Linked DNA regions of Arabidopsis thaliana. The protein of the gene in region 1 interacts with the protein of each later gene in a pairwise test. Each region holds a gene or a part of one and is shown on either strand. Other genes may lie near its edges. The genes, in order: AT2G04620 and AT3G12100.

What was found.
Region 2: the proteins of AT2G04620 (region 1) and AT3G12100 come close enough for resonance energy transfer, tested with the Arabidopsis thaliana proteins (one study listed by BioGRID).

Annotation. Positions count from the first base shown.
Region 1 is NC_003071.7:1,609,772-1,615,015, reverse strand, and holds AT2G04620 (zinc transporter-like protein), read left to right. Parts: upstream 1-2,055; 5' UTR 2,056-2,113; coding exon 2,114-4,510; downstream 4,511-5,244. Other genes in the region: AT2G04622 (uncharacterized protein), read left to right, coding at 997-1,051, 1,140-1,330; AT2G04621 (uncharacterized protein), read right to left, coding at 3,869-4,034, 4,317-4,354. UniProt on the Arabidopsis thaliana protein: Involved in sequestration of excess metal in the cytoplasm into vacuoles to maintain metal homeostasis.
Region 2 is NC_003074.8:3,853,861-3,859,162, reverse strand, and holds AT3G12100 (Cation efflux family protein), read left to right. Parts: upstream 1-1,843; 5' UTR 1,844-1,892; coding exon 1,893-2,307; intron 2,308-2,399; coding exon 2,400-2,508; intron 2,509-2,645; coding exon 2,646-2,685; intron 2,686-2,921; coding exon 2,922-2,998; intron 2,999-3,129; coding exon 3,130-3,218; intron 3,219-3,561; coding exon 3,562-3,631; coding exon of another isoform or gene 3,632-3,638; exon of another isoform or gene 3,639-3,683; intron 3,684-3,761; coding exon 3,762-3,800; intron 3,801-3,895; coding exon 3,896-4,046; intron 4,047-4,134; coding exon 4,135-4,224; intron 4,225-4,320; coding exon 4,321-4,422; 3' UTR 4,423-4,676; downstream 4,677-5,302. Other genes in the region: ACT11 (actin-11), read right to left, coding at 1-326, 482-875, 988-1,047. UniProt on the Arabidopsis thaliana protein: Involved in sequestration of excess metal in the cytoplasm into vacuoles to maintain metal homeostasis.

The DNA.
Region 1 (5,244 bases):
ATCAGAGATATTCTCTTAACAATGTGAGTTATATTCACAAAGAGACTTCAAGTCTTGAAGTTTTAGTAATAACTAATTATAACTTGCTTCTAATAACACATTCATATAAGAGTTGCTTTATACAACTTTTAGATCTTTAGTAGTCAAAGATTGAACATAATCTTCTGGATATGTCACGTATTATCCATTTATTACTTCTCCTCCTCGAGATGATGAAACTTCAAGTTCATCCATCTCGTATTGAATTCCACTCTAGAATCATAATGTATTTTATATCTCATCATATTAACTTTAAAATTTGGAGAACTATACCGCATCGATGATTTTAATTTTGTATTCCCATAGAAAACAATGTATATGCTCTTCTAGAGTCTTTTAATAAGATTTTATACTACTTGATATACTAGATTATTTCATCGTTAAAAGTTAGAAATTTTACTTATTTTTTACTATATTTATTTTCTCAACTTCTGGTGATAATTTAAGTTCTTGAAAAAACTTTGACCATTAAAATTATGATATCTTCTTAAGATACATTAAACTAGTCATTCATGAAAATTTCTATAAGTGATTATACCTTTAAATTAAGTTATTTATAAATCAATTTATTTCATAAAATAATCAAGTATTATATACCAATACAATTTTAATGCAATATTGTAAAACCAATCAGAATAAAACTATTTTGTGCAAAATCTGGATTTTACATATATCTTGACAAAACTTTTATTTAGGATAATATGAATTTGTGCAAAATTTGGGTAAAATGATTTCGTGCAAAATTAGGGCAAAACCATGAACAGTTTTTTTTCTCTTTTAAAAAATTAATACAAATCTTTTAAACAAATTTTTCGTGCAAATTTAGGGTAAACAATATTCATAATCAACTCTATTAACGTAAAACTAATAATGCATCAACTATGAAATTTTAATTTTCAAAGAAGTATTAATCTTCAAAATCCTTTTCAATTAAATATTCTCAACAAGCAAAAAAAAATGGAGAGAACATCAACGAAGTTCGCTTTTGTTGCCTTCTTTGTTGTTACATTCGGTAAAATTTTATTTCATGTGTGAATAAAATTAAAAATCTCTACATGCAAATTTTATGTTTATAACAACAAGTTAGTTTGGTTTTGTAGTGATGTGCATCGTAACTACACGAAATGTTGAAGCAAAACGTGTATTATCCGAAGAAATGCCACAAATTGCTTTGCATCATGAAGCTTTGCAGCAAAATGCGAATCGATGGGGTCTTGGGTGCAAAAAAGGATGTCATTTGATATGTTATGCTCCTGATCCAACTTTTCCTATATGTCGTTGTATATGCTAGTTTTTATACATCCCCTCGTTTAATTTAGTCAAATAAATAAGATATGTTTTCATTAATAAAAAAAAATATTTATACAACCACATGAATTAAATTGGATTTGATAATAAACATATGGGGATTTCTAGCCTTCAAGCAGCAAAAATCTATATAGTTGAACCGGCATCGTTTCAAATTTATAAATCGGTGAAAATTTTATTAAGTTCAGAAACTTATTTTAGGTTCAGTTTAAAAAAGCGTTAGATGGTAAGCAGGACGGTGATTTAGCGCCTAAAACGTTTAATCATAGTCTAAACGATTTTAGATGGTTTAAGCGTTTACAACATAAGACATTATAAATATAAAATTTTAAATAAAAAAATATATAAAAGTATCTGCTAAAAAAATAAAAATATTAAATAGTAAACAAAAATTAGACAAAAATATATTTAATTAATTCATATTAAACAATATATATTAAGATAAAACTTATTAGTTAAATTTTGGAGTTGGAAATTAAAAAAATATATTGAAAAGAAATTTATATGAATTTAGGCGGACAAAACGATTATATAGATGTCATAATATAGATGGGATTTAGACGACCGCCTAGACCACTTTAGTAACCGCTTTTGCAAAATTGATTTTTGATTTAAGAATATTACTCGGTTCCGGTTTAATTCGGTTAAACCAACAAATTTGGAATTCAAAGTAAACAGCTCACAAAATCACAAAAATCATGTCTTGACGAAAATTTCCTCCGGCGACTCATCGGGAAAAATCTCAAAAGCTTCCGCATCAACAACAATGGTGGATCATCATCATCATCATCATCATCAACATCGACCTAATCGTCTTTCAGTACCACAACCAACAATCGGAAGAACATACCCATCATTCCCTTACACTCCAACTCCAACCCCTTCCAAAACCCGTCTCTCTTCTTCTTCTTCCTACAGATCGATCCATGGAAGCAAATCATCACTTTCATTTCTCTTTCTCATTCTCTTCTCTCTTAGATCTCTTTACTCTCTCTTACCTTTCCTTCGTTCTTCACCTTCTTTCTCTCTTTTCCCTTTCTCCTTCCTCGTCTCTCTTCTCTCTTTCCTCTTCTCACTTTCTTTCACTATCATCTCTTCCTTTTCACCTTCAAAGAAAGACCCTTTTCTTCTCCGTCTTCAAAATCGTTCCTTTTCCTCAATTTCATCTCTTTCTTCCTCTCAAATCAAACTCTTACTCGCTAAATCATTCCTTCTTGCTTTCGTCTTTCTTCTCCGTTTTCAAGCTCTTCGTTACTGTGGTGCTGCTGCTATGATCTTAGCTGAACTCTCTGGCACAGTTTCAGCCAGAGTCTTGTTTAGTGATACTGGTGGAATTGGAGTTAGATCATCTAAGGTTCGTGGGTTTTGCGTTTTGTTTGCTGGGTTGTTGTTGTTATCAATCAGCTGGGATCGTGTTGATTGTTTCCCGTTTTCATCATCTGTTGAAAGTTGGGGTTTTTGGATTTACCCTAAAGAGAATTGCTTGAGGATTTGGCCTCTGTTGCTTCCGTTTCTATCTGGTTTCTTAGGTTGTTATGAGAAAGTTTCTGTGAATTGGAATGAGATCAAACAGTTAGATCAGAAACGAGTTCGATTACTGTCTTTGTTTCTAACCACTGTGTTGTTGTTCCCACTTGCTATTTGGAGTTTCTTCTTCTCTGGTAGTGGTGATGATAGTGTCTCTTTTGGGAATTTAGGTTGGCCTTTAGCTAACACTGTTGTATTTGGAGTGTTGTTGAGTGAGAATTATAATGATGATAAGTTTTCAAGCTCGAAGAAGAAGGACTCAGAGAGGGAGTTTCTTGTAACGTTTCTATGTACTATAGTATTGGAACTCTTCTATTTTCCTGAGCTATCTCTTTGGGGATTGTTGCTTTGTGGTTTGTTGCTTTACATTGCTGTTAGAGAGTTGGAGTCTGTGTATTCAGATTATCAAGAGATTGGTATGGAATCGCCTGAGTCGTTTTCCACTATGTTTATGAAGCCTATCCGTCACATTTTGAGCGAGAAGAAATCGAGGAAGATTGCGTTGTTTCTTTTGATTAATACGGCGTATATGGTGGTTGAGTTTGTGGCTGGTTTTATGAGTAACAGTCTTGGATTGATCTCAGACGCTTGTCATATGTTGTTTGATTGTGCTGCTTTGGCAATTGGGCTGTATGCGTCTTATATCTCTCGTCTTCCTGCAAACCATCAGTATAACTATGGCCGAGGTAGATTTGAAGTGCTTTCTGGTTATGTTAACGCGGTGTTCCTTGTTCTTGTTGGGGCTCTGATTGTGCTTGAGTCGATTGAGAGAATCTTGGATCCTCAGGAGATTTCTACAAATAGTCTTTTGGTTGTTTCGGTTGGTGGGCTTCTCGTGAATATCGTCGGGTTAATCTTTTTCCACGAGGAACATCATCATGCTCATGGTGGATCTGGTTGCACACATTCTCACTCACACCAATCCCATAGCCATAAAAATGAGGAGCATCATCAGCATTCAGATAGCCATAAACATGAGGAACATCATCAGCATTCAGATAGCCATAAACATGAGGAACATCATGAGCATGACCATCATCATCATTCCCATAGCCATAAACACGAGGAGTGCAACCACAACCACGACCATGAGCATCAATCCCATAGCCATAATCACGAGGAGTGCAACCACAACCACGACCATCATTCTGATCACCAACCTGAAAAAAGCGAAAAGAAGGAGCATCGCCACATTGATCACAATATGGAAGGAATCTTTCTTCATGTTTTAGCAGACACAATGGGGAGTGTTGGAGTTGTGATATCGACACTCTTGATTAAATACAAGGGCTGGTTAGTTGCAGATCCAGCCAGCTCAATCTTTATCTCCATCCTCATCATCGCTTCAGTCATTCCGTTGCTACGAAACTCTGCGGAGATTCTACTGCAAAGAGTCCCTAGGGCTCACAGGCAAGACCTGAAAGAAGCTATGAGGAACATACTTAAGACTAAAGGTGTTTGCAGTATCCAGAGGCTGCATGTATGGAGTTTCACCAACTCAGACGTCGTGGCTACTCTCCATCTCCTTGTATCTGCAGATTCAGACAAGACGGATACTAAGTTACAAGTGTCACGTTTGTTAGAAGATGCAGGAGTAAAGGATTGGACATTGCAGGTGGAATCTGTTAACTCATAGCAATTGACATGGAAGACACATTAATTGTGCTTCTTGATCATTACTATCTTAGAGACTGAAACAAAATTTTCAGTTTTGTGTTATGAAAAGGAACTTATTATAAAGTTGTATGATTTACAAAACAATACATTTCTTAAACAGAGAATCCAAAATAGAAATACATTATTGATATTGACATTACATCGGTGTTATCCCCCGATGATATCCCAACCTACAAGTCAGGTTCCCTTAGTGAAAGTAAAAAAAACCAACAAAAACTAACTAATTATCTCATTTATATATTCAAAACACTCACCATGAGACCTTCTTTCACTGCCAACTCTCTAGCCATGTTTACAGAATCCTCACTACTAACCTGTTTAGCTCGCACGTATTCTCAAAAGTCAAAACATAAGCTTTTAAGTTAATAGAATATTATGAAAAAAATGGAAGGTCTAGTAGCCTTATACATTACCTCAACAACTTTGTCCATAACATCCATATCCAAAATATCCGGTTTAAATCCAACCCCATTGCCCGTGATCTCATGTGGGCCTAACTCAAAGTTCAAAACTCTAACTTTAGCACCGGCAAAAAACTTGGATCTTACACTGATTTAGACCATGATGAATCAAAAGAGGATAAAAATATTAAAGATTCAAAATTTTTGAAGACATATGGATGTCAGAGTACAAGGCGATTCTTTGACGTGGCAAGCTGCGATTAGTTGCTAGAGTTTCAGAACGTAATATGCA
Region 2 (5,302 bases), on another chromosome or scaffold:
CGGGCAGCGGAATCTCTCTCCTCCAATGGTGATCACCTGTCCATCAGGCAACTCATAGCTCTTCTCAACGGATGAGCTTGTGTTTGCTGTTTCCATCTCTTGCTCGTAGTCAAGTGCTATGTAAGCAAGTTTCTCTTTCACATCCCTTACGATTTCACGCTCTGCTGAGGTAGTGAATGAGTAACCACGCTCGGTTAAGATCTTCATGAGGTAATCAGTAAGGTCACGGCCTGCAAGGTCCAAACGCAGAATAGCATGTGGAAGAGCATATCCTTCATAAATTGGAACAGTGTGACTCACACCATCTCCAGAGTCCAACACAATACCTGGAAACACACAAGACAATGGACAATGGTACCACATCAACAAAGCCAAGAAAGGGTACTTTCTTAATCTGAAGCTAAGAAGAACTTGGAAGTTTGTTCAATGCAATGGGTAGTAGTGATTAAAAAAATGGTGTAGGTGTTGAAGATCTTATTACCAGTAGTACGACCACTAGCGTAGAGGGAAAGAACAGCTTGGATAGCGACATACATGGCAGGAGTGTTGAAAGTTTCAAACATAATCTGAGTCATTTTCTCACGATTGGCCTTGGGGTTGAGAGGAGCCTCAGTGAGAAGAACAGGGTGTTCTTCAGGTGCAACACGGAGCTCATTGTAGAAAGTGTGATGCCAAATCTTCTCCATATCATCCCAGTTGCTAACAATACCATGCTCAATAGGATATTTCAATGTCAAAATACCTCTCTTAGACTGAGCCTCATCACCAACGTAAGCATCTTTTTGTCCCATACCAACCATGACACCAGTGTGTCGAGGACGACCAACGATGCTAGGGAATACAGCTCTTGGTGCATCATCTCCAGCAAATCCAGCCTAAGGAATTGGAAACACATATGAATGAACCAGACAAAACAGCATTGTATCCAAAAATAATAAAAGAAAAAGTTATCAGATTTATATCCACAAAGGTCATGTAAAGATGTACCTTAACCATTCCGGTTCCATTGTCACAGACGAGAGGCTGAATGTCTTCACCATCTGCCATTTTCTATATCCTGTCAAAATTGATATAAAAAATATTAGCATAATTGAACCCTTTATTTTGCAAGAAACAGAGGAATCTTAAGATCTACCAAAGAGAATTAAATTGAAAAAGCTTCATAAACGCATACTAATGAAGAATCAATGACGATGGAACGTTATGGAAATGTGATTACCTTAGAAGTTAGAGAGGGGATCTCTGAGGAAACGAGGAGGGTGGTGGTGTGGTACGGGTGTGTAGTTTTTGAGAGAGAAACGGAGCGAATGAAGAAGAGAATGTGAGCCGGAGAATTGAAGTTTAAAAAAGGAAGGAATAGGCCCGTAATAAATATTGATGGAGAAGATCTCAGCCGTTGATTTCTGAATATCACTTTGAACGAAGGAGGACCCCACGACCAGTCACGTTGTTGGTGGAAACAGCTGTCTTATTTAGCTTTCTAAAGAGAGTAACTGACATTTAATTATTTATTTATTACTAATTAAATCATTTCGAAAATTTGGTAACGTAACTGTAAATCTTCTCTCTCTCTTTTACTCTGTAAAGTAATTTAATGGGCTGGATAAAGTTCCTTAATGGGGACATCTACCTATAACAACCATATTTAATGGGCTGTATAATGTTTGTTGCATTTCATATATACATACACACTAACCAACCCTTTTTAACAATTGTTTTTTTCTTGTGCGGTCAATGCTTCTTGACTCTTTTGTATTCTATGGGCTTCTAAAATTATATATGGGCTTAGAACAGTGGCCCATTGACTTTACTGTATAAGCAGAGTTTCTTTGTACGACTGACTGTTGATTTTAGTATTTGCCGAAGTTGGAACTTTAAGATCAAAGAAGAAAATGGAGAGATCCATTTCCTTTAATCCTCGAGGCGATAACGAGCTCCCTGATGATCGGAGCAGCGATGTCGGATATGCTGCTAATGATCGGAGGCTTGCTTATTCTCGCTCGTTTCAGCAATCTCACGGTCCACGAACGCCGGCGGTCACGGAAGCGGCTAAGCCTTTTCTCGATAGGACGGTCTCGAGCATCGATATGCCGCCGGATATTTACTCCGTTGATGGAAGTGATGTGTTTTTCGGGGAAGGGAAAGATGTAGACATGGCAAAAGTGTCTGTTTTGGAAATGGTTTGGGAGGTTTTTGGAGTAGTGACAAGTGGAAATCGGCAGATGAAGAGACTGTTTCTGCTAATTGCGCTTAATGTGTTGTATTCTACAACAGAGCTCTCTATTGGTATCTTCACTGGTCGTGTAGGTACGATTTGGTTTCAGTTCTCTTTTTGTTTTAGGATTGAATCTCTGAATTGTTGATATTCTTTCTTTGAATTGTTTTGTGGACTCTTACAGGTTTGGTCTCTGATGCATTCCATTTGACATTTGGTTGTGGTCTCTTGACATTTTCTTTATTTGCAATGGCAACTTCAAGGAAGAAGCCTGATCATGCTTACTCATACGGGTGAGTTACAAGTAATTTGATTGGCTCAGTTGGTTAATCCATTTTATGATCTATTTTTCTCCCGAGACTGTAATGTGATTATGCTCAAGTGGTTGTAATTTAGGCATCCTTGTCTTCTCTTTTTTTTGGGTTCCCAGGTACAAAAGACTTGAAGTTTTATCTGCTTTCACTAATGCTGTAAGTATGTTCTTAACGTGTTTTGGATGTCATTTCCAGCTTTAGTGTAGATGGCTTGACTCAGTGTTAAAACTCTTTCCTTTACTGTTGCTGATAGAATAGAGTATTTTACAGCTCGTTAAAAAGATTTGGACTTCCATACAATCTATCTTTTCGTTTTGCCTTTCATTGTCTCTGTAGTTTATCTTTTTGGTTAATACTTTGATTTGTTTAATATTTGACATATGTGTAGACAGCTGTTCCTTATGTTCATGTCATTCTCCTTAGCTGTGGAAGCTCTTCATGCATTTATACAAGATGAATCAGAGCATAAGTAAGTTGATATTTTCACAAATGACATGCCTAGGAGTTTCTATATATATCTCTAGCACTTACTAAGTTTACAGTACTTGTTCCCTCTTGTTCCTTTCAGTAGTGTGATTTACTGAGATTTCCTTTATGTAGGCATTATTTGATTGTATCAGCGGTAACAAATCTGCTGGTGAACCTACTAGGTGTTTGGTTTTTCCGGAATTATGCTCGTGTCAATATTGGTATGTTTTTCTCTGCATTTTAAGTTCTGTTTAGACTTGTATGAATTGATGCTCATACGCTGCTTTATATTTTGATATAGCCTTTGTTGGTGGCTTTGGTATTCATTTGTAGAAATTGGCCACCCTTGTCAGTTTTCGCTTTAAAGCCAAAGAAGTAAGGGTGTTTGGTTAAGATAGAATCAGTACGAAGATTAGTTGAAAGAGAGAGTCAGCATAATTGTAACTGATCTGTCAAACGACTATTCGTTGCTTCTTGAAATTATCTGTCCCTTCTTTACATATCTAAAAACCACATGTTATCTTGAATTTTTTTCTTATATTCATAATATGCAATATGCTGCAGCCTACAGAAAAGCAGAAGATATGAATTATCACTCCGTTTGCTTGCACGTCATATCAGATTCCATCCGCAGGTGTTAATCCTCTCTGCCTTTATAAATTTCAAGCAGAATCGGAGAAAGCTATATAGAAAAGAAAATGCTTCCTTTTGCATCAAACTTATATACAGTCAACATGAAGTTTTCTTTGCTGCTGTCTTTTCAGTGCAGGTTTGATACTGGCATCTTGGCTCCTCTCGCTCGGGTAATACTCGCTTTCTTTGAAGGAGCTAAATGAATAAAAGTGTCTTCTTGCTTGACTACATTTTCCTTTTGCTCCTTATGCCTTGGCTTTTTCAGGGTTGAAAATGCAGAGGTCCTATGTTTAGGATTGGTATCGGTCACAGTGTTTATGCTTGTTATGCCACTCTTCAAAGCCACTGGTGGTGTCTTGCTTCAGATGGCACCCCCAAACATTCCTTCTTCTGCTTTAAGCAAATGCTTGCGACAGGTTCGCTCATAAATCGTTCCTCGAATGTGTACATATTTCCCATTGTTGATCAAACCAGGCTTCTCTTCAGCTCTCTCTCTCTGTACAGATTACTTCTCGAGAAGATGTAACGGAGGTTTTACAGGCACGTTTCTGGGAGGTTGTGCCTGGTCACACTGTTGGCTCACTCAGACTCCAGGTACTCACTTTTCTCCTTTTTTTTATATCGGTTAAAACATGAGCTCACACTAGAAATGGAAATGACTGGGTTTGTTATTTTGTTTATCGGCGTTAGGTGAAGAGCGGAATAGATGAAAGACCATTACTGCAATATGTATATGATGTATACCATGATTTGGGTGTACAAGACTTGACCCTGCAAACTGATTACACCTAAGCTGCATCTGCCTCTTCTTTGTTTTTAAATGCTGATTTGAAGATTTTTGGATGTATACTAGAGATCATGGTTCTTTAGGAATATAAATATTGTGAATTTTCAAGTTGTGACTTTGTGATATTGTTTTGTTTGTTTTTCATTTATGTGAATTTTCAACCACACAAAGACCACAAACCTTTGTATCTTCAAGCTTGTGGATATTTTGGCTCATAATGATTGGCGAATTAAAACATATATCATTTGCTAAATGTGAAAGTAAACACACAAAAATTCAATATGAGCTGAGACAAGATTTTAGCATTCCTTCTCGTTTATTTATACGATAAAAAAGGAAGTGGGGGAATCGGAGATCACATCAAGCTATATCTTAAAAACCTAATATTCCGAGGAATGGGCCACTAAAAGCATCTTAGAAAGAAAATTCATCGATTACGAAATCATCTCCCGTCCATGTCTATATATTATTCTTTGCTTACTCCTATGCTTCATTGAACATAGCACATTTATTTTATTCCACTTGTGATCATCCATTATATAAACCATGATTGCAGTTTTTGGACTAAAAGCTAGAAAAAGTTGTATTCTTTATGGTGTAATGTCTTAAGAACATATTTTAATGAAGGCACTACTTGATTTCTCTTGGTTGTGGTCTGCTCTGTACCAACTCCAACGACAAAAACGTATAATATAGAATAATAAACAAGAAACAATTGTTCAAAAAGACACTTTTATTTGAAAATTATACGGTTTTAATGTTATTGTTTAATTGATTCAACTCAAGAGAGAGAGGACCAAAAGAATATGATCATGAATCATCAAACCATTAACTCTTAACCTTTCCCCTTAAAAAATTCCCAATTGATAAGAGAGAATCAAAAGC